Linked DNA regions of Drosophila melanogaster. The protein of the gene in region 1 interacts with the protein of each later gene in a pairwise test. Each region holds a gene or a part of one and is shown in the gene's direction. Other genes may lie near its edges. The genes, in order: Tsp39D, CG15282, CG17580 and CG3598.

Evidence for each region.
Region 2: the proteins of Tsp39D (region 1) and CG15282 interact in a two-hybrid assay, tested with the Drosophila melanogaster proteins (one large-scale study listed by BioGRID).
Region 3: the proteins of Tsp39D (region 1) and CG17580 interact in a two-hybrid assay, tested with the Drosophila melanogaster proteins (one large-scale study listed by BioGRID).
Region 4: the proteins of Tsp39D (region 1) and CG3598 interact in a two-hybrid assay, tested with the Drosophila melanogaster proteins (one large-scale study listed by BioGRID).

Annotation. Positions count from the first base shown.
Region 1 is NT_033779.5:21,340,196-21,349,533, forward strand, and holds the start of Tsp39D (tetraspanin 39D), read left to right. Parts: upstream 1-4,411; 5' UTR 4,412-4,541; intron 4,542-9,338. Other genes in the region: dimm (dimmed), read left to right, coding at 1-152.
Region 2 is NT_033779.5:14,708,357-14,715,919, forward strand, and holds CG15282 (uncharacterized protein), read left to right. Parts: upstream 1-4,114; 5' UTR 4,115-4,230; intron 4,231-4,286; 5' UTR 4,287-4,385; coding exon 4,386-4,397; intron 4,398-4,468; coding exon 4,469-4,696; 3' UTR 4,697-4,762; downstream 4,763-7,563. Other genes in the region: CG34165 (uncharacterized protein), read left to right, coding at 5,473-5,484, 5,576-5,863.
Region 3 is NT_033778.4:12,801,614-12,809,802, forward strand, and holds CG17580 (uncharacterized protein), read left to right. Parts: upstream 1-5,000; 5' UTR 5,001-5,084; coding exon 5,085-5,306; 3' UTR 5,307-5,421; intron 5,422-5,476; 3' UTR 5,477-5,616; intron 5,617-5,673; 3' UTR 5,674-6,198; downstream 6,199-8,189.
Region 4 is NC_004354.4:2,932,445-2,940,527, forward strand, and holds CG3598 (uncharacterized protein), read left to right. Parts: upstream 1-4,582; 5' UTR 4,583-4,683; coding exon 4,684-5,502; 3' UTR 5,503-5,629; downstream 5,630-8,083. Other genes in the region: CG32793 (uncharacterized protein), read left to right, coding at 1-98; CG3592 (uncharacterized protein), read left to right, coding at 2,726-3,475; CG14420 (uncharacterized protein), read left to right, coding at 7,039-7,108, 7,211-8,022.

The DNA of each region.
Region 1 (9,338 bases):
AGCCTAGCCTTGTACTAAATGGCACTACATCGGTGGGCCTGGGAATTGGAATAGGGGTTGGTGTCGGAGTGGGAGTTGGGGTGTGCAACAATGCGCCAAGCTTTGCTGATATCAATGATAATTTCGACGAGCCCTTTCGAGAGTTTCTGTAAGCCATCCATAACGCGGTGGTTCCGCGAACGTAAAAACCGCAATTGGAAAATGGTTGCACACATGTATAGCGCTCAAAAACGATATTTATGAACCCCAGTGCGGTCGATTCACCGGCTTGAGTGTTCGAAACCTTGTTAGTTATTATGCTTTCATAAAATGGTCATTTATGGAAGATTTCTGCAATAAACTTAACCAGAAAATATTTAATTTAATTAGTTTTATAATTTTGGTCATATAATTGTAAACTTGTAAAAGAGCATGTTCGATCCTATGAAATCTATATTGATATAGATTTACTGGGCGAATATAGGAAGAACACATGACTTTGGTTTCGGGAGAAACTCAAAACATGACAGAAGTAAAGAATGAGCTTCACTTTTCAAAATGATTCTTCTAAATTTGTTGCAAGTACGCCATACTTGAGTGCCGCGACATAAATAAACGTAGTTCTAGAGAAAAGGACATTTGCAAGCAGTAAATTGACTGATGTAGGAAGCACCAAGGAAATCGACTGCTTTAGCAAGCAGGACTGCCTTAGATTGCACACGTGGGTCCTTTTCTTGTTCATTACATGCCATGAAATATGAATAACTTATTGGTCTAATTATACAAATTGGTATTAGCAAGCTAAATAAAATACTTTAAAACATAAACAGATAGATTAACGAAGTGGATTACAAATATTTTGATGAGCTTAGTATATGTTTTAATGATCTTCTGAAAGTTTAGGCACATTTTTGATAATTAAAATGAAAAAAACCGGCTACTAAAAATATATCTGTTAAATATCAAGAAATACGTATACTTTAGATAAGACCTACAACTATTTATAAGTTACGGAAGCCTATAATTAGCGAAACTTAGTCGTAAGCTTAATTTCACGTGCACTTTTTTCCGAAAGAGAACCATGAAGAAGGCTAACATTCGATTGTACTTAAAGTTATGGTTCAAGTTTTGTATATATGTATGTATAAACTTATATCCAGATCGATCTTAGATAATTAGCTATGCGCCTATATATCAATGTATCTTTGTATGTATGTATATCGCAATTTATACATTCATGCAAAATACTAAAGCTAAGAGCGCTTTATCACCTTAGTTCTTTTGTTAAAGTCTTTTTTAATTTACAACCCTAATTTTGAAACGATATGACATTCTGTATGTATGTATATCATAGGACTTACTGTATATAGTGTGCATAAATACATATAATTGTTTGTAATAGCAGCAAAAACATTGAATCAATTACCGTTAACTAGCGGTCCTGCCGTCTGAGGAACGACGGTCTACAAAGTGACGCCCCAATAAGTTAATTTACCACCCATGATCTTTTTAATGCACTTGAAACCTTCCATTGGATGCAAGAGTAGAAAACGTGGTAAGAGGGGTGTGTGGGCGGACAGGAAAACAATTAACGTACCGAAACTAAAATTGGCACATTTCCGTTATGGGTCGCCAGACTTAAGACTCTGTACGCGGGAAAGGGACGTCGATAGTAACGCTCGGACGGTAAACAGTAATAAAATAACGGTGCTCAGTGGGTGGTGAAGTCGGCTGATGCGACGAGAGGGGGCTTGTAAGTGTGAGTGAGTGAGGGTGGCTGGGGTCTTAGCAATAATTAAGTAAAAAATTGTAGTTGGGGGAACTCTCTCCTCTTCGGTGTCGAGTTAAGCTTGTTTATTATGTTTGATTAGTCAGGATTTCGTATTTTGGGTAGGTCGCAGGATGTTAAGCTCTTCCACAAACTCCAAAACATCGATTTGTTCGAAGCAGTGCAAGATTCTGAACTGAGTTTCAAAACCTTCTCTGTCAATCAAGCCCGCGTGTCAGTGTGTTTGTTTAAACACAACATTTCGGAAAAAGTTCTAATGCAAGTTCTAATAAAACTTTTCACTTCCTCGGGAATCCTTTCTATTGTACAATTATTCTTTTTTATTTTTTATTCAATTTGCAATCGATGTACCTGTGTTTAACTGAAGTGGTTAAATGTTACCGGTAGATAATTGAGACAGTAGAGTACTGTTACCAAGAAAAAACAAGTTTATTTTTGGTGAATTTCGCATATAAATACATTTATGTATATACATACAGATATGTTTTATACTTAAGTGAAAAGCCTAGAAGGAATAGCTGAAAATCTGCAATTAAGCGAAGATATCGAAATTAATTCTGAGCGGGGTCTATATAGCAATATTCTTAAGCGAAGTGCTTTTTAATCGTACAGATTGGAGAACATTAAAAATTCTGTTACGATTGTGCTAAATATACGCAAAGTAGGACGAAATATATTCGTAAATAAAACTCGCAATATAGATGTGTAGCTCCATAGGTGTGCAATGTAAATGAACAGGAAGAGACTCATATAATATATTTAATGTTATATAGAAATACCCCAAAGGATCAAATATTAATTCAAAAATTAGAAACGTTTTCCCAGTGCTGTAAATTATATGAGAAGCCTATTTTGAAGAGCATTTGCTTAGTACAAGTGAAGAAAAGTATATGAATATTTAAATAAGTAATGATAAAAATAACAAATTCATAATTATATGGAATCTGTAATATGTATACATAATATAATAATATAATATGTATACATTCTCACGTTTAAAGCAAAGATTATTTAATAAAGTAAAGAATAAACCGGAACTCCAACACTTTTGAAAAATTCTGTGATAATTCTTCATATTTTTATTAGTCTTGTAAATTACTATGGATTTGCCAAAAAACTTTTTGCCTCGCCTACTTCAACGTCCAAAGACCGCCCAAAACTGCCACACCTACACTTTTAAAATATTTTTAGAATTTTCCGTTTTATTATTTGTCTTGCCAAGTTTTATCGGTATACAAAACAATGTGGCCACGACCCTTCTTTCACCTACAAAACGAACAAAACTGTCACGCCAATAATTTTTAAATTTTTTCTCATTTTATTCACCAAAATCAATCGATATCCTGGAAAAATTATAAAATTTGGCGATCGAATTTCCACTAGCCGAGTAAAGGGTATCTGATGAGCGGGAAATCGAGTATAACATTTTCTCTTGTTTACATATATCCTTTTACACTTTTACCACTTTTCATCCCCAAGCATCAAATTTTTCAAAGTCCTGGTATGAATACAGAAAAAATCCTATGATATACTCTTTTAATGGGCAAAATGTATTTATAATATCATTAGGTTTTTAATTTAAAACCATTCAACAATGGTTCACTTCTATTTTACCCATTACTCGTAGAGTAAATGGGTATACAATATTGGTTGAAAAGTATGTAACAGGCAGAAGGAAGCGTTTCCGACTATATAATTTATATATATTCTTGATCAAGATCAAAAGCCGAGTTGATCTAGCCATGTCCGTGTTGCCACGCCCACAAGAATCACAAAATTTCCAAGCCCACGTGTAACGTGTAACGTGTAATATAACATAAACCGATTCCACCTTATTCTTGCCAAGAAGGTTGGTTTAAGGGCTAAATCAAAAGCAAAAGGAGAGCTAAAACACGGTGGAAATTTTTTAAAGCGTTGTTGAGTAGAGAACGTGCTAAGTTATATATATTTCATAAACCACCGCGAAAGCGAAGAGGATTTATCTAATGGGAGGAAGGTATATATATCATGTAAATGTTCCTGATTCTCTTTTCTTGATCGGAATCTCCAGACGACTCTATATGCCTATGTCCGACTGCATTCGTTTTCTTGGCATTTCATTTGATGTCATCAGGGACTTATGTATATGCAAAAATTGAATACAATCCTGTTTTAATTTTCACTACAAACATAGTTTTATGACAGTAATCGAATCTCCTTTTAGCTAAACTTAACATTGCTTCTTTTATAATCAATCTGGGTTATACAATTTTTATCTACGATTCGAATCCAGTCTACTTTAGTAAAAAATTATGGCAACTCCCGACTTCTGTATACTGCAGTATGGCAGCTCCCGAACTGTGTAGATGTTGGTATGGCAACTCAAAATCACCTGCAATTGCTACTGAACATTCATATTAAACATAATTACGAAAAGACCAACATTAAAATAGCGTTTGTATTCGGCAATACAAGATTTATTGCTGAGAGGGGAAAAAGCGGTTCTAGCATCAACACGTAATAAAAAGAAAATTAACCAAAATTGATTTTCTTGAAATAATGTTTCCAGCACCGGGATAAGATAACAAATAGTGGAGTCATTCAGCAATCGTTGATTGGCGTGAGGTATCGATGACCATGCGCTATCGATACCTCCGTTGGAATTATCACATCGTAGCTCTACTGTTTGTCAAGTCTCACTTGAAAACATCCATCGAAAGTGCTGTTGTTCTGATTAGAGCGCGGGTGCGAGTTAATCAAGCGAACCGTTGCGTCCTGGTCCTAAATTTGAAAGGTATAAATATTTGGGTGAAACCAATCAGCTGCAATAGATGATGCGGTCCCTTGCGCCATACAAATTGGTATTAGTATTGCCCTAGAGGAGTAATTGTGTGTATGTATGTTGGTGGGAGAGTGGAAAGTGGTTTAAGTGAGGGATGCGACCGAACAATATGCACTTCTCCCTGTGCTACCTGAGATCTAGAGTGTGGAGAGTGATTCTGTTGACTAGTTTGCGTGCTTGCGGCAAGCAGGAGCTGCGGTCCGGTGTGATACATGCCTCGCGAAGTTGCTCCAAGTCGTAGTGGATGGTGCTCCAGGTGCTGGGATGCGCCTAATTGGAGATACACAAACGGTCAGTCAAAAGCTCGTGAAGTGTGGGTAATGCCTATATATATCCGCCACCCGCCTACAAGCGGGTTCCGGAAGTAGGCGACGGCACGCAACCATCAACCAGAAGCATCATTATGCACACATGCAGCTGGACATGGGGAAATCCTCTCAATAAAGCCGCTAGGCGGACATTGATTCATATGTTAATACACGTGTATGAATATGACAATTGGTGAGAGCGGGAACCACCAGTTACGCACAGTGGCCAGATCGCACTAGCGCACTATTCGTCAAGGAGTCAGGATTTGGTTGTCGTCTCAAATAAATAGCTAACTTTGTTAGAGATAAATGGTTAGGTTTAATCAAACTAATCGTTTAATTTCAAGGTAACATAAACTCATATTTTGCTTAAACTAAAAACGGTTTAATATAAATAAGTCTGACAGGACCGTAAAACTGCTCTCCAAATTCGGTCGTCTGGTACCTGGGCGCAAATCAATTAAGGAACTATTAACTCAGCAATGGGAACACTACCAAACACTGTACAATGTAGTAGCAATATTAAATATAATAATATAATAATAAACATGGATGCTTGCTTCTGCAAGCTAAAGTATTTAAAAAGTATTAGAAATGGTCGGTAATCGTAGAGTAAGAATTCACTTAAAAGGATGTTACAGGTAGAAGAACGCTTTTTCCACCTTATAAAGTATTTCTGTATGTATTAACACTTAACACATACGTATATCCAAACTGGTTTATTACGCAGTACTAAGAAATATACGGCTGACGTGTGTATTTTACCCTACATTGTCATCCGTGTGGCAGGTGTAGCCACTTTTTACGCAGCTGACACTATTTCTAAGCTATCGATTTTGTCTTCTATTCCTTTCCCATTGCTTTGAATGCCGATACTTGGCCTATTGCTGGTGGTGGGGTGGCACTAATAATTTAAAAACCGACCTATTTCAGTGCAGAGTTCAAACTCATTCAAACTACACAACTATTACAGCAAGCGCAATATACATACATATGTATGTATGTACATATGTATTCCTGTCCTTCCTAGTTTTCGTTCTCCATGTCCGTCCGTATGAAGGTGGAGATCTGAGGAACTATAAAACCTACAATATTGAGATTAAGCATATAGATTTCAGAGGCATAGTTTGTTTACTCATGTTGCTACGCCCACAAACCCTGCCAAAGCTGCCACGCCCACACCATTGGAAAATGTGTTGATATTTATATATCCGTTACTCGTAGAGTCAAAGGTTATGATCAGGATCAATAGCCGAGTCTATATGTCCCTGTCTGTCTGCTCGAATGTCTATGCGTCCATATGAACGCCGAGATCTCAAAAACTATAAAAGCTAGAAGGTTGAGATTAAGCATAAAGATTCTAGAGACATAGGCGCAGTGCAAGTTTATTTCAAATCACCCAAAACCGGTACGCCCACTGTTTGTTTTGATATATTTTCCTATTTTTATACCCGTTACTCAGATTAAAAGGTGATACTAGATTCGTTGAAAAGTGTTTCCGACCAAATCAAGTATATATATCCTTGATCAGGATCCATAGCCGAGTCAATCTGGACATGAAAGTCGAGACCTCAGGAACTATAAAAGCTAAAAGGCATACAGATTCTAGAAACATAGACGGAGCGCAAGTTTGACCCATGTTGCCACACTCACTCTAACGCCACGCCTACACTTTTGAAAAATGTGTTGATATTTGTTCACATATGTATTAGTCTTGTAAATTTTATCGATTTTGCCAAAAACGTTTTTGCCACGCCCACTCAAACCGCACAACCGGTCACGCCCACACTTTTGAACAATTTTTAAATTTTTTTTCATTTTATTTCCCAATATCTCTTGATATCCCAAAATAAATGATACTTTCGCGTTCTCATTCACACTAGCTGAGTAACGGGTATCTGATAGTCGGGGAACTCGACTATTCTCGCATTCTCTCTTGTTAGTTTTGTAAATTTCTGTCGATTTGATAAAAAACTTTTTGCAATGCCCACTCTAACGCACAAAACCCGCCGAATCCTGTCGCGAACCCACTTTTGGAAAATATTTCGATCTTTTTTCATATTTTTAATAGTCTTTTCTTTCCAAATTCTATCGATATGCCAACAAGGATGTTAAATGCTTAAGCTGAGTAACGGGTATCTGATATTCGAGGAACTCGTTCATTCTTGCTTTTTAAATTCATTTAACAGTTTTTTAATGCAAAATTTGTTTAAATTAATGTATTTTGTATATACTCGTAATAGTTGACATTGTAAAGGTTCGGTAAAGTTGTACATTGAAATAACTCCGGAAAAAAGTTTTTAAAACTTCTTCAATACAGGAAATCCATATCGTTAGCCGGGAATAGCTTACACATACAGAATAACATACAGGAATAATGAAAAGACCGGTGTGTTTGAATCTTGTTCTATGATTATCACTTTAACAGAGTACGGATAAAAATGAATACTAAACGTATACGAGCTTAAATAGCGTTAGGCAGTTGGTTTATTTTTCTTCGCGTCTTATAGCATGTAGTATGTGCATATATCGAGGGTACACTGTACCTATAAGTACACAGCAACACTTAGTTGCATTGCATAAATAAATGTCTCAAGTGAGCGTGATATAAGATCACCCATTTATGCTTTAAGCTAAGTCAGCATCCCCACGCTGGCCGCTGGCCATATATGCGCATAAGCTCTCTCTCTCTCTCTCTTATACATATATATATACGCTGCTCTTCTGCCGCTGTCGACGGCGGCGCAGTCGCAGTATTTAGGTAAGATTAGACACTCTGTAGAGGTTAAGCGGGCAGAACCGTTTCTGCTACTCGAAGAGATAAGAAGAAATAAAAAGGTGGCCTGACGGCTGCACCCAACTGCAAGGAAAACACGTGTTCTCAATTGGTGGCATATATTGGTTTATTACATGGCGACCGTGAGGCAGGAGCCTGCGATCTGAGGACTACTGAGGAAATGCTGCTAATATTGCCGATTTGATTTGGGAATTCTAAACAGCGACAACAGGTGTGAGAGGCAGGCCGCCCCTTACACCAGTGCGGGAGACCTAGAGACGGGACACTGATGAAAAAAAAAAAGAAACAAAAATACTGAGTGAGTAGAGTGTGGTAATGGGCAAACGCGGATGTCAGGAAATCAAAAATAAAGGTATAGCACATATTAAGTGGCTATGATATACAAATAAAACACCGCCCCCATGGGCAACGGCACAGAAATTAACTGCCGAATTAGACTTTCTGAAAGAAAACCTCCAGCAAAGAAAGCCGAATACCACAACTCACTCAGCAAAAATAGAAATAATCAATGAAGAAATAACTGAAAATTCAACATCACCCAAGCCGAAAAGACCCGACGTCTGCATGAACGACTGCCCTCGACCATTGTAAGCCGCAACAGCAATTAGCACGGCATCCTGCGAGGGTAGGATTAGGATAAAGGATAAAGGATTCCACCGGCGCGCCGCACATGACAACAGCGAATGTCTACCAAGCAGACGTTCGAACACCCTGCTCCTGTCGAGCAAAGGGATCTGCCAAGTATCAAAGAGGTAATAGAGGTAGATCCGTCCGCGGGACCAAAGCCCTTGACCATACAAGAGTACAAGGCACGGACTGCAGCGAGGGAGCAGCCACCTAAAAAGAAGAGGGGTGGCCGCCGGATTAAGTTGCTCAGCGCCCGGAGGCTCAACATCGAACTACTGAAGACGGCAACTAATGAGGAAGACCGGCAGCGCTACAAAGAGCGCCTTGCAGCCATCAATCAACAACTTCGTGGTGCGAAGTAAAGCGGCGGGCTGCGTTATACGCCATAGCCTCAACCGCCCAAATATTATATTAATGTTGTCGATGCGGTTTCCGCTGCAACAAAATTACTAACTTATCAGGGACCCATTTCATAACTAACACATTATACTCAGTCCTAAACTTAAAATAAGTAATAATATTGTAAAATTGCAAATTGCAACCGATGTAAACTGAGTATAATGAATTCATCTATCAAGTAAAAATATGTTTAACAACAGTTTAGACCTATTAAAATTTCGAGCTATATTTATATCTGATCGAGATAACAATAATTGACCAATTCTCAAAGTTAAAATTCTATTTGTACTTTTGATATACAAATAAAGACTAATTTTCCCCATATCAAAATGGGACATAAGTCGTGGATACAACCCCACAGTTAAATTCAATGTACTTACTATTTTTGATTTTAGTTATCCTATCAGCCTTTTAACCTGGCCTTAAAACTTTATCAGTTTCACAAAAGATCGTTGAAAAGACTTACATGAGTCGAGCCAATGATTTAGACAAAATCTAATAGAAACTACACCAAAAAGGTACAAGTGCGATTACATCGCTAAAAGGTACATACATGGAATGGCTAAACTTAACCATATCCATAAACAATATTAGAGATGCTTTTGATAAATCCTATAA
Region 2 (7,563 bases), 6.6 Mb from region 1:
TTCCATTTCCATTTCGGACATTTCACGCTCGAAAGGATTTTATCCCACACCGACCACCGAAACTGATGTCTATCGTCCTGTGGCCATTACAACTTATTGCTACTACTGCGGCTACACTTAATACACCAAATTAACTTTTTCGTGGGGGGTTTTTCTCAACGCCCCCTTTCCAACACCGCCAAGCATGCCGCCCACTCGAAAAGCAAGGACGCGTTTATCTGCCGGTTATCTCGCCTTTTGTTGATTAATAGCTTTGCGGTAATTAATTTGCCATGAATGAGGTGCATTTGTATAGAACGAGATGGATTGGTATGGAAATAAACTCGAACGCTGAGGTGCGCTCATGGATGTCAATGTGATTATTATTTAAATCAAGAGGATGGTTTGGGAAATATTTGATCTAATGAGATATGATTTACTATGTGTTAATAATCTTAACTCTGATATCAGAAAATATTTTGTGACGCAAATTAGGATGTGGCAAAAAAGTATTGTTATTTGCCATTGATAAACTGTGATGATTGTGAAATGAATTATATGGGTAAGATATAAATACACTAGTGAGGTGGAGTAATGAATTATTCGAAGCTACCTTTCGCAAATCAGTTATTTAAAACAAGCTTATGATAAGGATGTTTGTACTGGAATAGATTTAACCAATAGTCCTTCATCCTTGGCAGAGTCCTTGCATTACCTGAAACTTTTCTCATTATATCTGCACCGGCACAGCAACGAACAGTGGAAACCGAAGTACTCCAACGGCAGAGCCAACTTTCTGCCCGCCCACAGCTTCAGGTTTTACCAATGACTTCCGTCATCACCGACACACTCAAAGTGTAAATTTGCATTTGCTTCTAATTACGAGCGGGTACAAGAAATTGCCCAGAACTGAGGCCGGAGAAGGCCCGCATTTGCAGCATTTGCAGCATCGGAGCATCTTGGCAACTCGGAAACTTGGCATCTGCAAATGGAGGAGCACTTGCGGCAATTGCAATTTAGAATTTCAATTATATTTATATTTTTTATGGGGTTTTAGGGTGGTGCCTAGGTGGAAAATGCCCGCACACACGGAAGTGCTGGAAAACTACAAATCAAGTGCCACGCACGCAAATTTCCTTTAATTAAAACCAAACTTTTAAGAGCCCCTCGTCTGCATCTTCTTCACGTTCCTCGGCCGCAGATGCATCTTCACTTGGTTACCCAACTGCAAACTACTCGGGATCAACTTAAGCGAATCCAAGGCGACATAATCTTCGAGTGAGGCCCAAAGTGCGGGCCGCTTTTGTTGGTCGCAGGGCGAAGGGATTAAAGGCCAAAGTTTGCTCAGGTGAAGAAATACAATTAGCGAGTAGGACGAGGACACTGTGGCACAAATGAAGTACCGAAATTCATTTTAAAATGTCTTGTCCTTATATTACAATGAAACTTACATGCTATTTTTCCCAATTTAAATTGCACGGCATTACTAATTATTCGAAATTACTGTTTAAGTCACAAATTAGCTGCAAAATAATTAAGTTGCTAAGTTTTTAATCAATTCTTACCAAGGATTAAGCAAGGTTATTGCACGACTGTAATGAACTGCATAGATAAATAAAAAGTTTTACAAGGCATAATTATTAGTATTATTAACTGGTTCATTTACGGATTTAATGCCCTTTTTTTGGGGCTCTTTTGGTTTTAATGTGCCTAAAATTAGCTGGGGTCAGGGAATGCCACTCCTGATTGGGATTATGAATATGAAGTCAAAGCCTACAAAAATCTCTTCCAAGTTTGGTTTTGTAAGTAAAATTCAGTTTTCTTCGCGTTCCAGCCGGAAGTGCACTTAGTATAAAAAAAAAAACGCGGTGAGGGCAAAAAGCGGGCCAAAAGGCAATAAAGAAAACTTCGCCGCCCTTCGAAGCGATGCGAGTGCAGTGGGAAACTTTTCTAACCCATATTAAAACATATTTGCGCAAAAATATGCAGATGCCCGCAGAGTGCAAGGAAGTTTTCACGAATATATGCAGGTTCCTGCCATATCTATATATGGACAGGTGGCGGCGGTGCGTTGGCAGTCAATTGCTCATTGACTTGGCTCAAAAATTGTTGAGTGTCGAGTTCTAAGTCCTAAGCCCCTGCTAACATGTTGGCGAAAGTTCCCGGCACCAGATACGGAAGAGCCGACATCTTCCTCTTCGGAATACCATTTCTTTCGGGCTTAGTTTCCAGTTGAGTTTACGTGAGCTTGGATTTCAAGCTGTGCGCGCACATAAGTTTGCGGCTTAAGCATGTGAAATTCATATGGATGGAAATGGAACCACCCACACGCCACCCCACATATTCAGCTCCAGGAATTTGCACCCACCTGCAGGTGGGGCATAACATTCTGACTGGGCTAATGCATTGCTAGCCACCCAAATAACCTAAGACATTGCGTCGCACGGGGGTGCCAAAGAAGTCAAGCCAAGTTACTAGTGCCAAAAGTTTAAAATTAAACGTAGTTATATCAAAAAAAAAACAGCTTGGTTGGAAACGTAGGGTACTACTGAACTATATATAACGAAGAATGTGTATCTTAAATAGTTTAAATGTTTTTTTTTTACTATTTTATTTAACCTTTCTTTCATTCGCCAATACCAACTTAACGTAAATCAAGAAACTAACGTAGTCAACAGTTTGTTGTTTACCTATCGGTGACGCAAATATTTAATTATAAATTCAGCTCGATTAAAGTTTAAAAGAGCAAAGAATGTCCCAAAAATGTTGCGTTGTAAGCAAAAGGCTAATTATGTTTATGCAAAGTGTTTTTTTTTTGAACTTATGGAACCTAATGGAATATAATTTGAACAAAATTATTGAAAATTGACGGTAATTGAAATGAATTTGAACAAATTTCAGTGCACGGCTTTGGGTGTCGTGTTGGGCCACCATCAAAGGAGTCAAAGAGCGTTGAATGTTGAATGTTGCAACTTTGACACGCGACGCAGACGTTGGCCCAGAGTGTTTTCCCCGGAGCTCTGCAATTTTAAGGGCCTAGGCCTCCCGAAAAGGGTTCATTAGACATTTTACCAAAATTACTGCACATTTCCAAAAAGCAACGGCTATATGATTAGTTTTGAAGCGGTGGTTTATTTGAAGTAGAGGGTTTACTTTGATTTAAGTTAAGTTGAGCGAGTTTGCGTTGTAAGTTACTTGAACATTAAACGGATAAAGTCACTAGTACCCACACTAAACAGCTTACTTGCCAACCGGGAAGAGGGACTTGTGGTGCCCGACTAAACACAAATTCGATGAAATAAAAATAAATTAGCTGCTTTAAATGAGCCAAATAAATTCATTTAGGGTTTTATGCGCTCCACTGAAGTATGCCAAAAGGCACCGTCTTCGTCGTCGCAGTCTTTCGCATCACCCTCTTTTCGGATGGCAGGGTTAAGAGCCAAGTTAAAGGCAACACGTATTGCCAAACTCGATTGCCGCTGGCGCCGCACACCAAATGCAATTTCACTTCACCCTCGTCGAGGTACGGTAAAATTTCCAGGGTCTCCGGTCTCCGGTCGCCAGTATTCCCCATTCGCTGCAGGTGATTCCCCATCGAGACACTTATCTATTGAGTGAGCTTGGTTCGCTTCGTTTGGACCGCTCTTGAAGTGAACGCCAACGAAATAAGAAAACAACAAAGTTTCTTTTGATTATGTCAATGGAATTTGTTTATCTCAACGAAATGTAACCGAATTGAAAAAAATATGTTTTTTTTACGCTCATTTGCATTTACTTTTGCCCGGATATAAATGTGGCAATTGGAAGGGGTGATTTGTTCAAATGTCCAGCTCAGTAAGATTCAATAATTATATATACACGTAACACATTAATGTGATTCTATGGTAAACATTAGAGTAAGGAAGCAAATTTGTTTTGAGAACCCCAGAAACAAAGGCATCATCAACAACGTCAAGTAGCATCAACAACGTCTAGTTTGGGTTCAATATATTGATTCTTGGAAACGTGCCTCTAGAAACTGAATAGCTTAGTCATAAATTCAGTAAAAATACTATTTAAATATAAATTGGCAAACTATTAAAATTCATATCAAAAGCCACGCACCTGGCGCCTGTTCCCCTAAAAAAAAATGGAAACCGGTCAATAACCACAACAAATTCAAAACCGGATTGGAAGAGAAACGCTGGTCACCTGTGAGGAAAGCCCCCACGTCTGGTCCAGTGTCTGGGACAAGTTTTTATTTCAGTGCGGGTAAAGAACCTCCGAAATTCAAACATTATATGAATTCAAAAAAATCGTATAAATAGAGAAAGACGTGACAGAAAGGGCACAGTATCGAGTGCAACATCGAAGCATCCTCATCTTCTGGGATATTAGTACAAATTGAATTCATTTTCAAATTCAATATGAAATTCTTGGTAAGTTTGGCCACCAGAGCTACACCTCGCAGGGATTAAGGACTTTATAAAAATAATAAACGGCCATTCAGGTGATCGTTTTTGTGGCCCTTATCGCCGTTGCTTCCGCGCTTCCTCAATTCGGATATGGAGGATTCGGTGGATTCGGAGGATTCGGTGGCCAACAGCAGCAGCAAGAAGGATTCGGCGGTTTCGGAGGCTTCGGAGAACAGCAACAGCAGCAGGAAAGCTTCGGTGGATTCGGCGGATTTGGAGGAATCGAGCAGCAGCAGCAGCAGCAACAAGGAGGCTTCTTCTAAGGCTGTTACTTTAGTTCCTCGACTAAAAATTAAAATAAATTATTTGAACGTATTAGTATAACAAACACAAAACAGTTTTTGTTTTTAAATACTCATTTACATGTTTTGACAATGGCTTATTGTAGGCCTTTAGATCGACAGAGATTTTATTAATGAGTAACCTTCATTTATTTCGCTTGCTTATAAATACGTTTGGGTTTATTTTTTTGGACATAAGCAACATCAAGAAAAATGAATTATTAAATTAAATTAAAAATTTGTGTTTCAACATAAAAAATTGTTTTTATTTAGCTAATCGAAAATCACTTAATGGGTTAATGACATTTTTGTGCTATAACAACATTAATTGCAAACACTTGAATAATTCGCAAATGATGTTGGCATAAAAACCAAAGGCAGATACTGACTCATGCAAAATTGTGAAATAACCAAATGTTCTGACAGCAATAATTTAACAAAAAACCTAATTTGATTAGCGAAGAGCATACGCCAAGAAGAGCTGATTGCAAACCTGTATTTTTAGTGGGCCCGTCAACCCCAGATACTTGAACGTTTTCAACAACAGAAAAAATCCCCTATAAACACAAACGTTCACAATGATTTGAACAGGGAAGTCCGAGCGGCGATCGCACCGTGCTCAACCAGTTTTGAATGGGCATAAAGCCTAACAAAAATTCAGATAAATACTCATAGCCAGCAGCCGAAACTCAAACAGTTGATTTTAGCATTCCGGTGAAATAAGATTGTTCGCTTGAGGAATATTTTCAATATTCAACATGAAATTCACGGTATTTTTCGCTAAAAATTGGCTAATATAGACATCTACGTTATTTTTTAGTTGAAACTAAATGTATTGTACTGTATGTATTATTTTTTTAGATAATCGTTTTTGTTGCGCTCCTCGCCTTTGCATCGGCCCAGTTCGGTCCGTTTGGTCAAATTATTAGGGGTATTGAACGATTTGAAGGTGGTCTGCAACAACAACAGCAGCAGCAGCAAAGCGGCTTTGGCGGTGGTCAGCAGCAGCAACAGCAGGAGGAGGGTGTCATCTTCAGAGGTCCTTTCGGCGGCGGAGTGGAGTTCTTCCAGGAGCAACAGCAGCAGCAGCAAGGCGGTGGAGGTCAGCAGCAACAGCAGCAGGAGAACCTATTTAACTTCTTCGGCTAAAGCTCCTTAGTGAGGGAAACTAGACATAGACTGACCACTATCTATAGAACTCAAAAGCAAGCCATTAACTAAAGCCATGATCGTAGAGATAAACACACGATAAATAAATATTTTTAAAAACACACAATTATAAACCAAGACATAATAATGCTTTTCTATAATCCTAGTTTAAATATTTAATACTAGTTCATGCAAAACCAAGCTAATTTTAGTTTAATAAAGCAATAACGCTTTGTCATATAAAATTACACGAAATCAAATACAAACAATTTGTTTACGAGGCCAAGGAGCAGACAATTTGCCTGCTATTTGGATGTGAATTCAGCAATGACTTCGTGTTTTGTGTCAAAATCGCGATGATGGCCATGGCCAATTGTTATGGCCAAAGTTTTAAGCCAAAAATCGCAAAACTCTAATGAGTGCTATCGTTGAAATCAGAGGAGAGCAAGTGGGTGTGGAAGGGTCGGTGGCATTTTTGGTTCCTTTATCCGAAAGCACCGAAACACCATCAAAGTCATTAAGCGGAAAACCCTTTTGGCTTCTTTTCCACGCATTTTCATTTCGCCTTGTAATGACTTCATCCCGGCTTCAGAGTCTTTGGGGTTTTGGTTCTGGTTTTGTTATTGGAGACAATTTCGAAGCCATCCTGTAGTTGCCTGTCTGACAAAACAACGCCAGTCAGCTATACAGCCAGCGCCATCCACCAAGAAAGCCAAGAGCACCAACACTCGTAACTACAAAACAACTTTTTAATTGCAATTAAATACGTAACAAGTTTTTAGTTGTAAGTGCGACTACGGAGCACACAGGGAACTTAGCCGTGGCAATAGTGCCCATTGGTGCCGGAATATTGTTGTTGTGGGTTACCCTTATCTATCCTTTGCTATCTGCTGAATATATATACAAAGATATATATATATATAGATATATATACTATATACGTATCTATGAGATTGCCATTGCAGTGTTTGCCTCACTCGCACTCTGTGTGTATTGCAAAATTGAGTTGTGCGCTTTGGGGTTTTAATTGTTAATTGTTGGCTCAGCGGGCAGCGCTTTTGACGTCGTTGATGACAGTCGACTGTGGGGCCAGAACGATGTGGATTGGGTCGTAAGAAAATCGCACTTTGGGGATTATATTGAAGTCGGTGGAGAGTGGAAAGTGGGAAGAGGAAAGTGGAGAAAGATAAAAGATTCTGGGCCCAATCCTCTGCGAGGAGGCGGAAGAAAAGGATGTTGCGGATTAGGGAATTAAATTGAAACCCCTAATGATTTTCGGGTTATGCGGGGAAACACACATTTTGCGGGAACTTTTAATCAAATCATCAAGTTCATCGAGGCATACGCATGCAATCATTACCCGAACGGCTTTATGACTGAACAATTAAGAAGAAAAGGTTGAAAACTGCTGGTAAATTTGCTTAATAAATTACTGGGAAAGTCCGATTTGAAAATAGTTTAGCTAAAGCATTGCACTCTGATAGACGCAATATTGTAATTTTTTTATATGTTCGTAAAGATTTATTTGATTCTCTTTAGATGCAATCGGTAATCGTATTATGTCCGTGGAAAGTGAAGTATATTGGACATTAGCATTTTCCATACATTGTTAATATTTGATATGCCATTTAATTTGAATGCAAATTAAAATTTGATGGGGCCACTGATGTTGTCGCTTACCCACTTACCTTTTGCATCTA
Region 3 (8,189 bases), on another chromosome or scaffold:
GGTATACGCATCCGTTTTCCCGCTTACTAAATATCTGCTTCAGTCCAAAACCAAACCGATTTCCCTAAACCAACCCATGGAGTCGCATGCCAAAGAGATCAAGTCAGAAATAGAAACAGATCATATGCAAGTTTTTACGAACACAAGAAACTGAAAACTATTTTCTGCAGTTTTGCATATACCAAAAATAAATAAACGAACAAATGAAGTGAGCGAAGGGCAAAAACCATGAGAGCTAAGAAAAATGCATTTAGCCAGTAAGTTATGAACTATATATATTATGTATACATTAATTTTATGTCCAGTAACTTTAAGCTAACTAAAAAAAAAAAAGGAAAACCAGAAAGCTTGGCCCTTAGACCGGCGTATTTTACAATAAATGGATTGATGTGAAAAGAAAAACCCAAACGGATAAGGCAATCTTTTAATGGACTTTCGGGGGGCTGCACAAGTAATCCATGTTTAATTAATTATAAGTGCCAAGGCAAACTAAATGGCATGATTTCCCCCTGGCAGCCCCAAGCAAATATGCACTCGTTATTCCACTTCCATTCACACGAACACATATGTAGTCACCTATATATACACATATATGTATATATGTATGGGTAGCCGGAGGAGAATGGAGATGTATTTCAATTGAAAGATGTTCGCACCCGGAGTGCAGATGGAATAGTTATCGTTCTATTTCGTTTCTTTTTTCAACCAACTCTACGAGTGCTGGGGGCCATTTATCAGCACGTGAAAAGTTGCCAACTGCCAGCGAGGAACTTTAATAATGCAAAACTCAAACATTTTTCATCATCTCGTTATATTGAGACCTCTTCGAGGGCGGGGTGAGGGGCATGTCGGGGCAGCCGCCCCCTCCACTGACACGATGATCCCCTTATTTATGCATTTATTTTGTTGACATTCTGCAGTCAAAACTTGCTGAGCTGCAAATGGATAACTTACTCTTTCGGCTACTTGGTCTGCGTTCAAAAGTTCAAAGTGCGGGTTCTCACAAAAAAAAAAAAAAAAACGAAGGAAATAATGCAAAAAATCGGAAAGGAATGAGAAATGCATGGCAATTTTGTTATGCAAATGCGCCAGAGAGCATACAAATTGACAGCGAATGGAGGGCGCTCGGATGGCTCGCATTGGAATGTAGAATTCGTGACATTTATTTATTGAGATACAACGGACGGGATTTGGCCATTCGATTGCTTACACAGAAAAAAGATGAAATTTATACGACAATCCGATTGATTTGATTTTTCATTTCGATTTGAAGAAGCGAATAAATAAAAGTTCCACGTTGCTAATACTTTCAAAACTACTCAACAGACCACTCTATTTGTATAACCTGTGCATAATTTGGAGAACAGCCTTTTTTTAGCGTGCACAAAGGTGGCTTTTAAATTCATTTCGAGATCCTACTTGGGGGTCGGTCAGCCAGTCGAGAAGTCAACAGGACTTTCTGCACCATTTAACCTGAGAGCGTCTTGCGAATGAAATCAAATTTGGTGTGAAGCCAAAGCGAATTGTTGTCCCAGCCGAGAAAAGGAAAAAAAAGGAACAAACGATGGCCAAAGAAATGAAAATTGCGTGCAAAGTGGGGAACCAAAAAAGGAAGCTGGCTCACCTCCAATGTAAATAAATGGCAAAATGGAGCAGCGGTTCGCACGCATTTAAAATGGAAATCATTTATGGTCGACAGAGCTCCATTCTCTTTCAACTTGCCACCCATTTGCATTTCCGGCAATTAACAAAGGACTTAAGCGAGGACAATGCATCCTCGAAAAATAAGCCAAGTGAACTCAGCTACGAATTGATGCGAGCAGCTCTAGTGCATTTTGTAATTTTAAATTGTTTAATTTATAAGATTTTTATTATGAAATTGTATGGCGCTCTTTTTTCAGATCTACTCCTCTCTTTTCGTTTTCCTTTCGGATGCATTTTTTATGGAATGTGCAACATGGCGTATGCGCAATTAAAATGCCAGCCAGCGCTTACACATTATTATCATAATTAATATCCAAGCCTAGTAATCGACCAAAGCCAGCTCAAAACTCTGGGAGAACAACAACAATTTAAACGATTATACACATCTACATATATGTATGGCATATGTATGCAAAATTTTACTCCATTCCATTTTATTATATGGCTGACACACATCTCAACGGTTTAATTAAAAGGCATAATGCCTTAAGCCCGTTGCCTCCAACATGGGCGCCCTGAAAAAAAGTTACAATAAATTTTTACGACCCTAATGCGGAGCCAAAATGACACAGAAATAAGGGTGCCCCTGGCAAAGTGGGTGCAGTTTTTTGGGGGGGGCAAGACCCATATGTTGCAGGGCCGCACGAAGGGGCAAAGAGCAAACGCTTGTTAGCTTTCGCTTTTAATCAGCTCTGAGCGCGTAGTTTTCCGCGTCTTCTTGCGGCACAGCCAGATAATGTGCCCCTCCGACCCCTTTTATACGCATATATGTACATATACTTATATGCGGAGAGAAATATATGCTAATTTTAATTAGCTGGAAATTTACATATGCCACGCACACTATCCTGCCAGCGCGTTTGCTCTTTTTTGAGGACACCAGCACGACAATGCCAGAATTTGGATAGACGCTTTCAAACTAATTCAATAGTTCGGTGGAGCAAAAAGTTGGCTAACAGATTTATTTAATTAAATGGGATTATGCTTGAAAGCGACTCCACAACGAACCTATGCTCTGGGTAATTTAAAACTAACAACTGATTTATTTAATTTGAAAACTTTTTATAGCATCTGCAATTTCACTTCAATTCTTATATGTAATTGTTATATGCTTTTAATTCTTAAATGGTTATATGTATAAACGTCATTGGCAGTGTTTCAAATTGAAATGCAACTATTTAGTGCCAATAATTGTCAATCGGATTTTGGCCCAAAGGTGAAAATTGCATAAAGTTGAAATTAAGTGTCACCACACAACTTATATTGAGCCGTTTACAGGATTTCTCAATTAAAAGCGACATTTAAATTAGATTAAAAATGGCAATGTATAATTTGTTTCAAAGAATAACTATGTATGCCACAGGCCACACACACTAACCTGCTCGCATTTTCTCACACCCTTTGAATCCTTCTTAATCTCCAGTCGGAGAGCAAACAAAAAGCAAAAGCAATCTTTCCTTTGTGCCACGTCTCGAAAGTCTGAAGAGATCCTTGCCAGCACAGCCTATTTGCTGCTGTTTGCTCCTTTTGAGGACCTTTGCTTTTTCGAGGGTAAACGCTGCAGTGCCAGAGGTGGAGAACTTTGCAAGACTGAATAAAAGTCGGCCTAAAGTCTTATTGTTTTCTGGTTTTTATCTGAAAGCTGCTGCTGCTGCTGCCTCAGCTCTGTCATTCGAGGTCCTGTGAAGTTGGCGATTATTGTTGCAAACTTAGTTGACAACTTGCCTGCTCGTCCTGCCATCTGCACCGCCCACTTATCGCCACCACCGCCCACCCCAAGGCCATGCAGATGATGGGCCGCCAAGCGTAATAAGGCCGAAGCCCAGGGAAAGAGGAAGTCTAGTGAAAATAAACAGTCGGACAGCCAAGTTGGGCATAGTTGAGCTTCTCGGCATCTCAGCTTCGCAGTCTTGCAGTTTCCCAGTTTCCCACTCTCACAGTTTTTCAGTTTCCCAGTTCATAGTTTGCCTGTTGTCTCCCCATTGTCCTGGCCATTCTTTATTTTTCAGTCCTTCCACTCCGGCTCTATATTATTATTATGTCTTGGCCCGGACTGCACAAAGTTTTGCCATTCTCTAACGACTTTGAATTTTTAATAATACCCCGCTGGAGCTTAACAATTTTGCCATCGTTCGGTTGTAGCGGCTAAGCTTTGTTACCAATTTAATGCATTTCTTGGTTGACGGAAATTGAATATCCGTTAAGATATATTAACAATTTATGCCGCCCTGATTGCCGACCCCCAATGCGGGTGCGGAATGAGGAGATCTATGCCTTTTTTGCAGTAAAATTGAAAACGAAACGAAACGGAACCAAAGCACACAGATACTATACACGAACGAACGGTAGCTGTGGCAAGAGAGCAGTCATCATCAGGGCCATAATGAGCAAGTCAATAGCCGGGCGGGCCAGCAGCAAAGGGAAAAGTCGAGGGGAAAGCCAGGCAATCGATGACGGAGCAAGGAAAATGCCGGCTGCCAGCAGTCATGCAGCGACGTGCGATAAAAAGCAGATTGCAATTTGTTTTACTGATTTCCATGCTTTTGGCTTTATTTGCACGACGGAAACTTTCATTAACATCAAACAGAAACTGAAATTGAAGCAGTAATGGCATCGCCAGCACTCCAAAGGATACAGCCACGGGGAAAAGCTGGAAAAGCCGATCGAAATGCACTTAAATCATGGCAAGAATGAGATCTACGGCATGCTTAAGTGGCATTATATGTACATACATATGCGCATATACGAGAATGCCATTATTAAGTTGCATCCTTCATTTGCTCAATTTGGCCAGTTGACCAGCTGGCCATTTAATTGATACGGCAAAAGGTCAGGGTGATGGTAGACCCACTTGACACCTCACCAAATTCCAGAATTCTTTGGGCAAACATTTGAGCAACATAAATGCACAAGTCCTACCAACCAATTAGTTGGCAAATAATGGAGAGAAATGACTTTTCATCTCTCGACCGCAAACAAAGTCCTTTTGTATTCCACCCAGGACCTCCTGTTCTGAAATTTATGCACGGACTTGGGCCTGCAAGGATCTCGAGGAGTGGCGGACGACTCTTGTTTTGTGTTCCAAGTAATTTGAACAAATTTGCGAGACATTTTGTGGCCTCCGAGCAAATATTTCAGGCCAATGCTAACCACCCCATCATCATCATCATGGCTTGGGCAGGCCTTTTGCGGACAAAGGCCAATTAACTTAAATAATTAGCCAGAAGTTTTCGCCATCGGAGATGAATCTCAGCCTACGAGATGCTCAAGTAATTTCAATAAAATGTTATCATTCGGTTGCTGTCGAGTTGCCAGGGAAAATCCAATCAATTATCGCCCAAGGGAAGCAAATTCGTACAGAAAGTTAAAGGCCCAGGGAAATGGGAAACAAGCTGCGCCGCCAACCACAAAGAGTTGAAGTTGACGAGGAGGAGGTGAGATCCGACCGACCCCAGAAGAAGCCACCATCGTCATGGCCCTTCTGGCGCCTGGTCTACTGGCTGGGAGTCCTCATCATGGTCATCGGCATCGGTGTGGGCATGTACTTCACCCTCAAGTCGGACTTCGGTGAGTGCTCCTCCTACGACGTCCGTTGCGATTGAGTGCTCCTGGCGATATAGAAACTTCCACGGAAATGGCGGAATTCATTACCCATTGAACTTCAACTAATTTGAAGCAGCTTGGCCTGCGAAAGCAATTGTTCTACATTTAGCGAGAGTAAGTATGCCAGCAGATATTAAAGAAAACTATTTAAAATTATTTCCCAAATTAGATTTAATTAAAACTTATACACCAGTTATGTTTTCTTGTCGAAACATCAGTTTGATCTTTTTACTTTTTATCATCGCAGTCTACATTTGCCTGTTTGTTTTATATATACTCCACAGAGTTGGTGAAGATAATTAATATTGGGTTTGTAATATTATTTTTCATTTGCCTTGCAGTATAAACCAGCTTATCTTTTCGCAGATTCATATGTAAAGTTATTCATTTGTCTGTTCTCCTGTTTGAATTGTGATATGCTAAGCTTGGTTATATCACTATCAACTTACGTGCAGTCCAATACTTGTCATACATGAATTCTAGCAGCTGGATCTTAATTAAAGCCGGATGAAACAACCCACCCCACACTAGACCGCCTCCTTTATTGTTAACAATTACAAAAGCAAGGCCGAAGCCGCGCAATCTCCAGCAACACATGCAGATACATTTGTGCATGTAGACGTGTGTATTTGTGATGCTATTCAAACTTATTGGAGCGCTTCCTTTTGATGGCGTTCTGGTTGACTCTTCAATGGCGAAACACTTTTTAGTTGAATGAAGCTAGTGAATGCACATATTTTGGGTTGCATATAAAAAATCCTACGATTATTCACTGGCCCTATTTATTTTGGTGTTAATTAACGAAGTGGAGAATGGCATTCATTGATAAAAGTGTACAACGATTTTTATTTCACATATTTATGCTATTGCTGTAATTAAAATAACAATTTGAATTAAAACTCTAATTTTAATAAATAAACTAAAATTGCACACTTATGACGACACATTTTATTTAAATTACCAGCTTAGGAAGTTGATTGCTTCTACTAAACGAGACAAAAGTTATTTATTTCGGTGCGTTGGGGGTTTATCTTAAAACGACTTCTTATGAGAGGGGCCATCAGTCAAGGTCAAGCTTAACAAAGATTTGTCGGCAATTCGAGCTTTTATTTCTTTGACACTTGCCAGACTTCTTTCGTTCGCACACAGCAGGTGAAATATAAATAAACTTTTTAATGAACTTTAAGATTTATTGCCAGCAGCAGCCGCAGCAAGTCAAGTCTGACACTTTGTGGCTTTAAATTTTCGGACGGGAATGTGCTGTTTAGATAAATTATACAGCACAATATATCCCGAAGGCACTGGCTGGCTGACTGAATATTTTGAATGTGAAGAGCACCCTGCCCTGAACTAAATATTCTGCAAATAATTGCACTCGACATCGACTGAATAGACCTAGCCCACAAATAATATCTTAATGCTTGCTCTGTATTTTACGAGCTTCCACCCATTAGACGCACACACTGCGTATGCGTAATGTCGAAATAATATCATTAGTATAATTGAACATATCTTGGTGTTGGCTCGGTCAGGCAATCAGATGTCACAGGTGATGTTATAAAATTCACAAAGCAAGCGGCTGATGAGCTGATTATTTACGTTCCAACATCTTTGAGGAGATAATTAACAATGTCGAGACATCAATTATCGCAATGTTGCAGCCAGCCCCCCAAGCGAAATTGAACTTGAAAAAGTCAAGGACTTGGGACTTGGGAATTATTTGTGTCGCTCTTGTTGTTTCACTATGTATCCTTGCTGTTTCCTTAGTTTTTTCTCTCAGCTATTTCTGTTAGCCATTTCCCCCTTTCTGTTGCCAACAAATCTCACCGGCTCAAGTACAAGCGATTTGGCTGTGTATTGACCCAATTGTGCTTACTTCTCTCTTACCAGAAAACGAAAAACTTTGGCTGCAAGTTAAGCTGGACAAAACTTCAGGTTGAGAACGGTCGCCGGAGTGCTTAGCCAGCGATTGCTGATTCGAGTGCTTCTGGCCAGGTTCCTGATCCGGGTTTAATTTGTGCTCGATTGGCCAGTAAAAATGCGAACGAAATCCGAGTTATTCGGGGCTGGGGCGCCAATTCAACAGGCACGTACTGCTGCCAGGACGAAATCCACGGGCGCTGACATATCCACTTCCATAAAGGACATACAAAACATTTGACATAATGTGGGAGTTTTTTGTGCCGCATATATACATATGTATATGTATCTGCTTTACAAATGGTGCCATACAATACAGCCGCACGTGCTGTGGCATGTAAATAATATGCATGTGAGTGTGAGTGAGAGTGCGAGTGTGTGAGTCGTGTGTTTGCGTTTCCGTCTGTCAGGATGCCGCTGCTGTGTTGTTTATGCTCATCGTCCTTGTAATGATTGTCGCCATTCGGGAGCCGCCTGCACGTGTTTCCCTTTCGATATTTGCGTTGGTCCTGCATTGTTACCATGTTGTTCTATGGAAATGTGCTTAAAGTCACAGCCCGGCCAAATAGTCCATGAAAGACCTCTGTGATTGCAGGTATCGGAAATGTGTATTTAAAATCAAGTACTTGTAGTGAATCGTAAAACTGCAACATCCATATTACGCAGCTGATATTGGAGTGCGCTTAATTTTCACTAAAACGCCTTAAAAAATATATACATATTGCTATATTGTTCAATCAAGTAGGATAAAAGATAAAAGATTGCCACAGCATTTGGTAGTCTCGTAACAATAAAAGTCAATGGTTGTCCATTTCGTAAGATTGGCAGAATATATCATTATTAAATATTAAATATTAAATATCATTATTATATAGATTTAAATAAATGTTGTAATACAAACCATGTTGTAATACAAAAAATCGTTGCGCTCAATCTCTATATATATCTAATAACTTATACAG
Region 4 (8,083 bases), on another chromosome or scaffold:
AGCCACAAAAGGAGGAGCCACAAAAGGAGGAGCCACAAAAGGAGGAACCCAAAGTGGAAACCCCACAGCCTCTGGAGCAGTCAAAACTGCCAGCCTAATTTTGTAAACGAACAGCCCTCCAAAAATCGAACCCAAACGAGCTCGAATTGAAATAATGAAGATAACAAAGAAATATGATAAGCAAAACCAAAACCAAACGATTTTCAATCCTCGTGAAAACCACAAAGAAATAAATTTTTTTTACATTTTTTTTTTGCGTGTGTTAATGCCTAACCAAAAAGTTAAAGTTTTGCTGGCTAAAAAGAGAGAAAACTATTAGCAAACCTAAACATAATTATTTTTTTTTATTATCGTTTCTTCGGCCAGTTGAAAGTTCAAATCTCTAAGAGCATTGACCGTCGAGAGGCCAGAAACCTGATTTGGTGCCCCGAAAGCGATGGCCTGTTATTGAGACCCGTGCTTTTGACCGATTTAAATATGTATCTAACATTTTCGAACGCCTCTTTTTAGCTTCACCTTAATTAATATTCCCCCAGCGACAATAGAAATTTGCTGTTGGGGTCAAGCATAAAGAACTGACTGACAGCATAATTCCTAAAATGCAAATTAGTCGGCCGATTAACGGTATTTGGCGTAGATACAGTTGTCTGAGCATAATAATCAATCGAAGGCAACCCAGCGAAGCAGTTTTGTAGCGCCTAGCTTTTCAAAGTATTTAAGGAAGTCTTAAAAAGTTCATCTTCACCAACGAGTTTTAAAGAAGATCTTAGAGCTTTAAGCTGAACGCAAGGATGCTAGCAAGTTTGTCCAAATCAGTTAAATCTGAAAAGATTCTCATCGCTAAGCTTAAGTAGGGATAATGACAGGCTCAGACGCATTTGAAGGTTTTTACGAGCTTTAAGCCCAATATTACTGCACAAATAAGACGAAAGAAAGCATTAAAAGCAGAAGAAACAATACAGCTAGATGATGTGTTCGAAAAGTTTAACTTTAGACCATTTGAATACGTAGTTTACACAAAATTAGTTGTGGCATTACAATTATTGCTAATTTAAAACTCTAAAAGTCGATAAAATCATATAAGTTTTGCTTAAAACAATGACAATTAAACACTCGAGTTTCTCTCGCCAGCACATTCGACTTTTGGTTAAGGTAAATAAAATATACACACAAATTATTTTCCAGCTTGAAGACCCCGGGCAACGTTTAACGAGTCAAGCGGAGCTGGAACCAACGATCCATACCAGATGGATGAGATGAGAAGCTGCCAACACATTTGGCTCGATTTTGGCCCCCAAGCCACAAGGCGGAAATTTGCATAATCATCCCGAAAAAAAAGAGCGGACACTATTAGGCCAACATGCGAGCACTTCAGCTGGCCAGTTGACAACATTATTCCAGCATTATTCAGGCAGGCGATCGTTAATTGTTTCCAACGACAATAGGCCGGGGTTAACGCTCAGGCAAGTGGCCAAAAAGCTGGCTAAAGAAGCTGGATGCTGCCAGGCAGAAAAGCCCGAAGAAAGATTCGTATTTTGGATTTGTATTCTTCAATTTAGGCGTGTGTGCAGATATTTGGTCATAAATTCCCCCCCGCCCCAGGCAAAGGTCAGCACCTGCCGAATCGGTTTTGGCCATATAATTAAAGCCTGAGAAGAGCCAAAGAACGGGCAATGAACTTTCAACTCAATTGGGCCCAGCCCATAATTCGGACTTAGGCCAATTTATTAGCCAGCTGCCGGAGTTGGACAAAAACTGAAAAACCAAAACTGGACAGCAGCTTTCTTTGTGCCGTTGCCTCGTTTGAATATGAATCTTTGAGGCCTGACCCCGTTGAACTTCTCCTGCGGCACATTCTTATGGAAATTAAGTTTGCGTTTCTTTTATTTTAGAAATTTTTCGCAGCAGTTTCCGCAGCCTGTTGCCAAGCGGATTTTACTGTGACTTCTTGAATGTCTTGAATAAAATAAGTTTGCATAAAATTGACCCAAGTGCTTGTGGATTTCATTTTTTTGGGGGGAGAAAATCGATTTCAAATTAGCGGATTTATGAAATATATTTAAGACCGTTTAGCGAATTTATATACAACATACATATATGCTAATTTTTGGATGACCCAATTTGGCCCAACAGTTAGTAAGAGTTAAAAATTGAAGACCACAAAAACAAAAATTAATTTATGCGTTCCCACAAACTTTGAAACCAATTTCCAGATCTAGATTAAAAAAAAAAAAACAGTTACTAAACTCTGTACTCTTCGAACTTGGAAAGTTAAAAGTCTTTTTTAGGCATTACAAAATGATCTAACATTTTGGAAATTATATTTCACTATGAATATTTATGAAATGAGATAATATCGGTATATATTAAAGGCACAGTTCCTAAATTGCTGGAGGGAATAAACTATTCTATTTTCTAAAAATACTTCTTTGATCTTTTTAAATTTTTGCCGATGAATTTCAACCTGTTGAAAATTAATAAAAAGCGAAATGAATAGAAATTTAAGAATATAGAATTGACTTTGGTAAATATATTCCAGTTTCCAGTGGGCAGCTATAAAAAATGGTTAAAGGACCGAGGCAAATATTGCATTTGAACACTCATATTATTATCCAAACTATTTGCAAATAATAATTAGTTTAAATTAGTCAGAATGGCCATGACTGCAATATCACTTTTATATCTAAAAGCTGTGAGGTAAAAAAAAAAAAACTCAAATCTGGAAATGAGTCAAGGGGAGAACGCAACCACTGCAAAATTGGTTTTCTATGAGTTCGCATGGCCACTTTTGGTAGCCGTTTTCGAGGTGAACCTCTACAGGATCATTCTGGAGCTTTTGGCCCACATCCTGCTGATCGTAATAACCGTGGTGATGGTCAAAAAGACCTCGGGTTTGGATGACCACAGCAGCGGCCAGCATGCCCTATACGCCATTTTGGGACTGTTTCTATGCGTGGGTGAATCTCTGTTGGTATGCCACTCCTGGTGGTTAGGAGACTTCATCTCCGAAAACCGGCTCAACCTTCTGCACATGGTATTGGGAATGGTGGGACTTTGGCTGGGACTGGTGGGGATATTCGCGAAGAGTATCTTCAAGAGCAAGATACATGAGCCGCACTTTAATTCCAAACATGGATTGTGTGGCCTTTTGGGATTCCTGCTTATCGCTGGGGCCGTGGCCAGTGGTTTCGCCCTGGTGTGCTTCACCCACCTGGCTCTGCACGTCATCCACCGATTGATGGGCTTGTGTGGCTTTGTGCTCCTCTCGTGCAGTCAGTGGTTCGCCCTCAATTTGGGATTCGCACGACGGGAGTGGAGTAGTTGGAAAATTAAAAGGCTCAGGATCTCCACGCTGGCCGCCACCATTTCAGTGGTTAGCTACGAGTTCCTCTGCCTCTGTAGAGACATTGTCCATTTGCTACCCAACAGCTGGTTCAAAGCCATCGGATTGAAAATTGATCACCTTCACAATTAAATTTTATGACCAAGCATTGTGAATAATTAAATTGAAGTGCTGAAGGCAATTGCAAAATGTTTATATTTTCTAAGCCCTACCATATAAAAAAGTAAATCACACAAAAATTACATTTATAGGAATTCTATTCAGCATGACAGCAAATATTTGGAAGATCAAGTGAAGTTTGTTAATCAATTTCGAAAGAAACATTAGCATACTTTCTGACTTTCAACTGAGAAATCCCTTGGAAAACAAAAACACTTTAATATCTATGCTTGCTATTTGGTCATATTGCAGTATGCCTAAGATTTTAAACAAGTTTCAACATTGTTTAATTAAGAAATAATAAATTCCGTGTCAAAAATTGTAGATTTATTGCACGACTAAAGAAAACAGTAAAATTACAGAGGGCTCGCATGTGAAATATTGGCCAACCTTCAGTCTTTCACCTGTACAATTGGCCATTTCCACGCATAAGAAGCCTCTTGGCTGGCATATTAATCACGGGACAAAGGCATAATTCCATCCCAACGTGGCTCGATCAATCAGCGATGCTGGAATACACATTTGCCCCCTATACCATACACCCCTTTCATCGATATTCACATTGGTCATTGGGTATATGACCGGTGGCCGGGGATGGGATACGACCACTTCGCATGCGTCGCTGACTCCGAGAGCAGGTCCATCATAGGTTCGGATCGGCCCTTGACTTCTCGGGTTTCTCGGTCTCTTGGGATGCCGAGATTTGTGCGTGTCTCTGATTGTTTTGTCATTAGCATGACCGCGGCGCTTTTTTTTTTTTTTGGGCCTTTGGTGTTTTTGGTGATCTTCGACTTTTTGATTCGGCGGCTGCTGATTTATTCAGCGCTCTTTCTTTTGTCCCACCGGCGGGTCACTGACATTCGTTTCTAATTCTATTTTTCACCATTTTCTACATTTCTTCCACAAAATTTCGCCACTTGAAATTATGCCGACATCGACCGCAATTATGACCAATGTTCTTGTGGCCTGAGTGGGCTCTCTCTTCTCGGTTTCTATGGGTTCTAGATTATGGATTCTGGATTTTTGGCCAGAACTTTTTCGCATAAAAACCTAATGCCGCCGCCACAGATCGTACAGTTCTGTTTGGGCCTTGCTTACAATTAGGATCCGGTCGGCAGTAAATCTTTAATTTCTGTGCACTTTACGTCGAGAAATCTTCAAAAAAAAAAAAAAAAAACAAGATGTCCAAGCTGGGTGCTATCTTGTTGGTGGGCTTGTGCCTGTTTGTGGCCGTGGCCTTGGCCGAGCCACGCCTTCAGCACGTTCAGGGGCGCAATCAGGTGCAGGGTCAAAGGGCGCAGCAGCATCCCTACCTCTTCCTGTCAATTCCCAAGGGTCGGGCCAACGCCGGCGCCGTCGTCCAGGGCTTCGAAATTGTCGAGGAGGAAGATGATGATCTACATGATGAGGACCAGCACGATGACGAGACGGAGGATGACGAGGAACTGGAGCATCAGCTGGGCCTGAACTTTGCCCGCAGCGGTCTGGCTTACAGGCAGAACCACGCTGATGACGAACAGGACGATGATCAGGATCAGGAGCAGGATCACGTTCAGGATGAGCTGCCCAAGAAGCAGATGATGGTTAACCGGGATCAGGCTGGTGCCATTATGGTGCCCGATGGCATTATCGAGATCGAGGGTCAGAGTGTTCTGGACGAGAAGACCGGCAAGGCGGCTCTCCTAGTGCCTCGTGCCGCCCTAGACGCCATTCCCGATGGCGCGGTGGTGGCTCTTATGGAGCGATCCGCCTCATCCGTTGATGAAATCGAGGAAGAGCGCGCCAACCGCGTGGTAGTTCGTCGCCGCAAGAACAACGGACGCAGGAACATTCGCCGCCGCGGCATCAACAACAACAATATCCGACGCCGCCGCCCCGCCCAAAGGCGTCGCCGAGTGGGTGGCAACCGCAGGCGCAATGTACGCGTCATTCGCCCCCAAGGCGGCAACCGTAGGCGTGGCAACCAGAGGCGCCGCGGACAGGTCGTATTCCAGGGTTGAGACACGAAACGAAGGTCGTCCTAGCCCCATTTCTATATAGTATTATAGTTAAGATCCCCTAACGATCAGGACAAGAAATTTGAGACACTTGATGACGATGCGACAAATAAAATGTGATATGAAAATTATAAATATTTTTTTTCGTATTTTTTATGGGTGGTGAAATTATGATGTGAAATTAACCAACATGCAAAGACTATGGTTTTGAATCATTAAGTTGAAACTTATTTTAAAGGTTTTGCCGTAAAACATCGTATACTACTTGTATAACTTTATTATTTATTTATCATATATGGTGTACCATTTCCTAGCAGTGTATAAGATACATAAGATTGCTTTGCCTCAAAATAGATCACTGCTTAGCTCCATTGATAGAAAAATTTGCATTTATCATGGAGTTTATTTGTATCATGGTTCAGCTTTATTCCAGTTTATCCTTTAACTTCGACACAACCTTAGTTATAAGTCACTTAATGCCCATAGGCTATCAAAAGTATGATATATGAATTAATAACTGCAAATTTTGTATGATAAAGGATCCGAAAATCAGATGGTACACACATATATACAAACAATGGTAGAGAAACTCATTTGAGAACATCTCTATAGAACTGTAAAAGTTTCGTAGTAAACTATTTTTGCTAATCGTTTGGCCAACAAAATAGGTACTACCGAAAAATAACCGTTTAGAGATAAAATTCATTTGATTGTCGTATATTGGAACCAAAGATACTTTTGGTCTTATCCAAATATATATATTAATCAAATGAAAGTTTTAAAAAGTCACGAAATAATTACACAATAACAGTATGTACAATACAAATGTTATATGGAAAATTAAAATATATATTTATTGAAATAATTTGATGTCGCATTCTGATTATATTTTGTCATTGTTTTTGGGAGAGCAAACATACAAAAATAGATAAGCACATATTTTGGAATCGTTGTCAAGAAAAGATTTGCCTCCGAACTATGCAATAAATCGCGAACCCTTTGTAAATTATAAATTTTGAGATTTCATTAAGTTTTGATTTTTTCGAAACGAATTTGGAGACTTCAGTTGAGTACTCCATTCTTTGGTGTGGAAATGCCGAGCACTGAGTGAGCTGAAGCAAGCAGAGAACTGACATCCCAGAACATCTGTGTAAGCCAGATTCCGTGGGTCAATCTCGGCTTGACGTCAATCAATCATCGGCTACTCGGCGATGGATAGAAGAATGGTTTTGGCAAAAGAGATGGGAAATTAGCATAAAATTCGTACGCCTCTGACCCGCGACCCGGTTCACTTTGACCCCGGGCGAACTTTTGCTAATAGAGCTGGCCAAGAAGTGGGAACTGAAAGGAAATGGGGATGCGGGGCGGATGATAGCCATCGATCAGCTGTATGAGCTCCAAGTGGGTATAAAATCCCGGGTCAGTCCATCAGTTGTCAGTCAGTTGTGAGTGAAAACTCAAAGACAACAAGTGAGTTAGGAACCCTCGATCCACAGTCAAGGAAGCCGATTATCCCGATAAGGAGAATCCATCTGCAGAATGCATTGCCTGCTTCAACTGAGTCTGGCTGTGGCCCTTTGCGCCCTCTTAGCCCCATCCACTACCTTGGGTGAGTCCTCAAATATTAACAGAAAGTCGTCAGTCAAGTCACAACTACTTTCTTTATATGTTCCTTAAATATTTCGTATAATTTTAAAATATTTTATCTCAGCCGAACGCCGCAATGTGTACCGCCTGGGTGGACGCGCCTCCGACGCTCAGATGGAGGCCCGCTTCACCTCGTCGATTGCCAACAAGCTGACATCTCTGAAGGGCACCACCACGACGACCACGGTTGCCCCCACTACCACCACCACGCCCACCTCCACTACGGAGACGACCACGCCGACTGCACCAACAACGTCCACTGGCACCTCGACGAGCACCACGACGCCCACAACCTCCGACACCACCACCGGTCGTGCCTTCCCCGCAATTCAAGACGATGTTGAGGAAGATGATGAGGAGATGCCCAGGGCGTTTGAAGATGAAGAAGACGAAGGTGATGACAGCCTGGAGGACGAAGATGATGACGACGATGAGGAGAGCTACTTTGTGGCCGCTCCTTCCGCCGGTGGCAATAGCAATGCCGTGCAGCAGTCCTCAGAGTCCGGCTCGTTGGTCCGCCCCTCGGAACTCCAGTGGCGCCAGTTCCAGCAGGAACAGCGCAACCGTCGCCGAATCCAGCGCCTCCAGCGTGAGCACAACCAGCGGATCAGGTCCCTGCTTCGCCGCCAGAGGGCCGCCGAGAAGCGAAGCCAGCAACGCTTGCGCCGCCAGCGCCAACAGAGCCGTAAGCGCGTCTCACAGCGCCAGCGCCGCAACAGGAACCGTTCCAAGGCCCAGCGCCAGCGCCAGAGGAGGAACAACATGAACCGTCGTCGCCGCCAGCAGCAGCAACGCCAGCGCAGACACCGCCAGCAGCAGCGCCGCCGGCTCGTGCGCCTCATGCGCCGTCGTCGTCGTGGCGGACGTCGCAACTAAGGAGTTGATCCCAGATCCCCAACCGATCCCAGAACCCCCGAAATAAACTGAACTTGTATGC